2 linked regions of the Kluyveromyces lactis genome follow. Each later gene encodes a partner of the first gene's protein in a complex. Links are inferred from orthologs where the notes say so. Each region holds a gene or a part of one and is shown in the gene's direction. Other genes may lie near its edges.

What was found.
Region 2: EMC2 (region 1) and EMC10 share a complex: the UniProt entries of both Saccharomyces cerevisiae proteins name them as parts of the ER membrane protein complex. The link is inferred for Kluyveromyces lactis from reciprocal best matches to the Saccharomyces cerevisiae genes EMC2 and EMC10.

The regions. Positions count from the first base shown.
Region 1 is NC_006041.1:552,991-556,118, forward strand, and holds EMC2 (Emc2p), read left to right. Parts: upstream 1-1,422; coding exon 1,423-2,283; downstream 2,284-3,128. Other genes in the region: TIF5 (translation initiation factor eIF5), read right to left, coding at 1-892; TIP41 (Tip41p), read right to left, coding at 2,437-3,128. UniProt on the Saccharomyces cerevisiae protein: Part of the endoplasmic reticulum membrane protein complex (EMC) that enables the energy-independent insertion into endoplasmic reticulum membranes of newly synthesized membrane proteins.
Region 2 is NC_006041.1:1,123,051-1,125,763, forward strand, and holds EMC10 (Emc10p), read left to right. Parts: upstream 1-1,342; coding exon 1,343-1,915; downstream 1,916-2,713. Other genes in the region: YOS9 (Yos9p), read right to left, coding at 1-1,070; hydroxyacyl-thioester dehydratase HTD2, read left to right, coding at 2,523-2,713. UniProt on the Saccharomyces cerevisiae protein: Part of the endoplasmic reticulum membrane protein complex (EMC) that enables the energy-independent insertion into endoplasmic reticulum membranes of newly synthesized membrane proteins.

The DNA.
Region 1 (3,128 bases):
CCGATACGATATCTTCATCGAAAAGAACTTGGGCCAGAACTGCAGCAACCTTTGGATCTTCCAGAAGCTCGAGTTCTGCAATCTTTTTGTATAATTCAATATCGGTAGGTAGTTCTTCTTCATGTAGTACCCATTCACCAAATTCTTCCAACTTGGAGAATTCGCCAGTTTCTTTGTCAGCTTCACCTTGTAATTCTTTCGCACGAGCTCTGATGGCTTCTTCAGACATATCAACGGCCCAGTCCTCATCCTTGACTTCAATGGTAGCCAAGTTAGAGGCAGCGGCATTAATTTGTCTGGCCAATTCATCATCATCGGAATCGTTTTCTTCGGCATCGTCACCAGCTTCAGCTTGGGATTTACCTTGAGCGATATCACTAATAGAAAGACCACCACCTCTGACATTAGCAGACGCAGTGGCAGCCTTCTTCTTTTTCTTGGAACCGTTCATACTGTCAGGAGGGTTCTTTAAGACGAACGAGGACAACTTATGTCTCAAATCCATAGGGGTTCTCTTACCACAAGCTTTACAGTCTCTAACCAAATCACCATCTTTAGTGATAACAATTTCAGTTTCAGGATTCTTACAGGATCCACAAAGGACAAACTTAGTGATGAAACCATCCAATACGTCCTGTAATTTGGCTGGTTGATGAGCACCATTGACAATGTAACGATCATTTTCAACATTGATAGCAGTTTGGGCACCCAATTCAAACCCGAAATATTTGATGATGTATGGAGCTGGTCTGTTTAAAGCACGGGCAACATCCATGGTATTCATAACAACAGTTTTGATACCATTACCTCTACCTTCAATCTTAGCCTGAATTGGAGGCATTTTATAACGGTAGAAAGGGTCATTGTTGTCTCTGCAAATATTGATTGACATCTTCGGCTACTGTTACTAATCTCTAGTCACTTGTTTCTGCTACCACCGTGTCTTTGACGTTCTTCAAGTCTGGAAAACACAAAAACTTTTAAAAGTAAGTTCGAACTGATCCTGTATTGGACTGTAAAACGGGGTCATTAACGCCTTCTTGAATCATGTATATGGAAGAAGTTCATCTCATCTCTTAGAAGTTCAACTTCAACTCTTCGCGTGTGGCAATCAGATACTGAGGCCTTGATTCCTGAAAAATTTTCGTCGTTTATGGTGATATGAAAATACATGTCGAAACGGAGCATGTGTCACGTGCTTTAGCTCCAACGATTCATTTGGCTCTGTGATTGTTTAAGCATCGGTTCTGTAAGAGACATATTACAGGGTATAACATGGGTGAGATACGTATGGTGGTGTTAAATGTTTGAATACCTTCAATACAATTACTGCTCGTGGAATTTAGTGAGTAATTTACTGTGTTGAAATTGTGCTCGAATCTCACATACATCTTAGGGTCGAAATCTAACTTTGTTCATATCATGGATTTACTTAAGAACAAATTACTGGCAATCCATAAGACTGGCGCATGGGCCATTCTGCCACCTAAAGAAATTGATTTGGCTTATAAGGAAACGAAACTTTTGATAGATGCTGGGTTAAATGGGCTTGACGAAATTAGTTATTTCTCAATGGTCGAATTATTGTTTTATCTTTGTCTTGTTCGTGGTGAAGACACAGAGGCTGAAACATTGTACAAAACTGTGACAGATCGTCTAGGTGACGATTCTCCAAGAATTCATGTGATGCACTCTATGTTAATACAGGTCACTCGATCCGATGATGCGGCTAAGAAATATATCGAGGATTTGATCAAGAATCAGCTGGAAATAGCTACTGATTCAGAAGACTACGTACAGATGAAGAAAAGGCTACTTGCGATAGAGAGACCTTCGATGAGTAAAGAAAAATGGGTAAAAGAACTACTGGATCTGGTTGAGAAGTTTCCTCTAGATGCAGAAATATGGTCGTTACTTTCGCAAGAATACCAGGAGGCTGGGGACCTACGTCAAGCAATATATTGCATGGAAGAAGTCATAATTGGGGTGCCGTTCAGTTATGAAGCATTTGGTCAATTAGCTTATTTGCATTACTTGAAGTCTCAATCAGATTCTGACCCTGAAGCTGCTTTGCAATCAAGTTTATCAAATGCGTTGAGATCTGTTGAGTTGGCAGAAGCCTACGTGAAAGGTTGGGGTATTGTATTGAAGACATCTCAGAAACTGAATAAAAAACCTGAATTAACTCAATTAGCTGTAAGAAAATTGCAAGAACTTCAGCAAAATAATGATAACAGAGAAATCACTAACGTATCCAGATACCTTTTGGATTCAGAAACTTGAATAGTGTGTATATAATATTATCACATGTATTACGAGATTTGTATATTATTCCTTTTGGGTAACATAATTAAATAGGTAGATTCATGAATGAGCAAATCAACTCTTTCTTGAATTTTCCAAAAGTGCTGTCAATTCGACAGTAGCGGTGAGTGCTTATTCGACAACTTCTTCTATATCTTCTTTTTTCCTCAATACTTCACATACGCGCTCCTTCAAAGGTAATACAGACGCAACCCAGTTGCTGTCTCTCAAAGATTTCTTAGGATCGTTTGAATTTAATCTACATTTATTCAATACTGTCTTGTAATCATCCTCCATATATTTCCATTCCCGTACAACAAGGTCCTCATTGAATTCGACATATATTCTTGTATCAATGATTTTAAACAAGACCTCATCGACTCTTAGGAAGAATCTGCATAATAAAAGAAGTCTCTCTGCCATTACCCTAAGTTTTATCGAAAGCATACTGATACCGTTGTCTGCCAATTCATCTTCAAATAGAATGAAATCATCATAGAATAAAATGGGATCTCTTCTTGTTAATTTTTCTATTGGAAGCTGATACTGGTTATCCACAACAAACTTGTATTCACTATCTTCTGACACAGTCCCATTGTATAAAGTCGTATAGGACCAATCCCAATGTTTTCCGAATTGTAATCCTTCCTCTGTGTTTGTCACTTGACTATTCTTAAGTTTGGAATTGATCCATTTCTCGGAATATGACACTCTTAACCCAGAATCCCCAAGTTTTACTTGACTAAGTGCATGGAACGGATTGAATCGTATGCACCAATGAGTCTTGGTGTTCTTCAATTCAACGCTGGAATGACCAAAAATCA
Region 2 (2,713 bases), about 570 kb from region 1:
GAATTCAATTCCAAGTCAATTAAAAATAGCAGATTTCCCGTTTCATCTACTACAGGCGCTCTCCATAGAAATAGATCACCAGGTTTGATCGATTTCCCGGTGGGTGATTGTATAAAGTCCGAACCAATCAATTTCTTAAGACTAGATATGAAGTCTCCAATAAACCTTTCTTCTACTGTGAGCTCAAAGAGGGTAGTTTGAGAATCCAGTGGTTCAGCAGCGTGATACATCAATTGACGCCTATCCTTCGCACTATTTTTAGGTTTTAATAGGTATATGCCATGATCAAGTACAGTAGCCGAATACCTGTTGAATATATCAAGGGCAGGACTCAATTTGCTGCCGCTTCTATGGCATATTATGTTGTGTTCAGATAATTGACCAAGCAACGGATTGAATGAGCTAAGTTCACATAACTGTGGTAGAAACAGTCTCAATTGGTACTTGCAGGATTGTATTTCTCTAACTTCAAGATGGAAAGGCCTCGATAGTGGACGTTTAGGGCAGATGTATTGTATTTCTACCTCTCTTGGTTTATGTGTAAGATCACAAGTGCAACCATCTACCAAAGTTTCGCTAAGATACACTCTACCAGTTTTACTCTTAGCAAAGTGATAATCAATAGTTGAGTTGTAGTTAGATGAGTTCCCTAAAAGGTACGTTTCGCCAAAATAACCTTTTTGCACAACAGTCCTCGTCTCACCAGAGGATATAATATAAGTCCAGTAAGAAATAGGCACTGTATTCATTTCAATAGGGTTTGGAGCCAAGATCGCATTAACCATGTTAACTGCTTCAATGAGAGCTCCTTCAGAATTAAAAGTATCTTCTTCATGATGTTGAATCAACGACGAAGTGTTCCTTTGGTAACACAAAACATCGGACCCTTCGTAGGGGCGGAAAAGCCGTCCTTCTTGGAGCAATGTCTCATTATCTATTACACTTAGGAACTCTTGCTCATCAACGTATTTTAGCGAATAAGGCGTAGAGCTATATGGATTGAATGCTGAGACACCTGAATAAATCCATGAGATAGCAAACACCACCGACGTAACTGGTAAAAATATCATATAAGGCGGCAGATACACTAGCTACAATCAACCTCTGACGAATTGACAACAATGCGCCAACAAATAATAGCTCCGTATATCATTTTTGTACTTTCCACTAAGTAAACTTAAACGTTTGTAATATAAGAATCCAATTAATCGAATTAATCCAATTTTAAACCTTAAACTGAATAAATGTAATAATAAAAAGGATGAATCTCACAGCATAGACTGGTGTTTCCATCATATAACACAGCGGAAAACTGGTTGGATTTATCTTCAAATAATTAGCTATGCTAAAAATGATTCAATTGTTACTAATACTTCTGTTTCACTTGCGTGCGGTAGTGGCATCTCTACAAGGTACTGGTGATCTTTACTTATTGAACAATTTGAATGAAAGGTACAGCCTGGCAACTTTCGAAGCTGGTGATGAGGTAGGTATTAACCTGGCTGTGACAGCCAATCGAATTACAGACGGTGAATATAAAGTTTGTGGGACTTTTCAAGATTATTACGATGAGTGTTTCTCTTTCATCCATATAAAGCAACCATTGTCATACGAACTGGAGCTGGTGGTACTTGATGATAAACTAGTTCGTATGTCGATTCATGCAGATGATAGTATTGATGGCATCGTACCACTGATAAAGGAGGTTGGAAATGGTCCCATACCGGAAAGTATCAAGTTGAAGAAAAGAACTCTGACTTACGAGGCAAAGAAAAAAGCTCAGAGAAAGGATACAGGGACCGCTGCATTTGAAGAAGATGTTGTAGAGAACAAAACGTTTCTTCAGAAAAACTGGAAGTACGTTGTCATAGGGCTACTCGCCTATGTCTTTTTATCCAGTGGATCACAGAAATAATTTCATGTTTTACCATCTTGCTACGTATATATACGTTCAAGAAGACAAAGAAATGACCAGACGACTGACTTTTATTGCTTGGATAGGATAGGAGTGGTTGAAACATTCAATTAACTCTACGAATACGAAATGTATTACAATTAGTGACATGGATTATTTTGATGAGCAATTTGCCTTGAGTTTATTAATTGAGTGCTCGATGGAAAGACTGAAGTGAAAGATTTACCAATGTTGGCTTTTTAAAAGGATCGAAACTAAGCAACTCCATTACTCACTTCTTATCAACAATCGATCATGCTTTTCTCATTTGCACTGTAACACTGTAGTTGCTGTTACGATAATTCACTTTGCACTTGACTTTCCAGTCAATTAGACTGCCAATCAGCTTCACGATATCATGCACAGTAGTGTTTACTACCAACTCGATAGAACTGTATCCCACTTCACATCTTATTTAATTTATTTACCTGTATATCGTCATAAACAAGTAATGAATGAATTTAAAACTGTTGGGCATTCAATCGTAAACCTCACATCAAACAGTATAGAAAAAAAAGGGAATCCTTAAAAGCCAACCATATCCACATAGCTGTTAGTTTTCGCGGCAATGCAGTGGCATATCAGTGATTACATCAATCCGGTGACGGTACAGAGGTATCAGACTTTGGTTACATCTATCTTGCCAAAAGCAAAAGTATCAAACGATATATCGCTTTCAGGTTCACATTTATTGTTCTTCCATCCAGTAACAGCTGCCCTCAGCGAAGACGGATACTACTCGTACCAGACTCCTGGTGC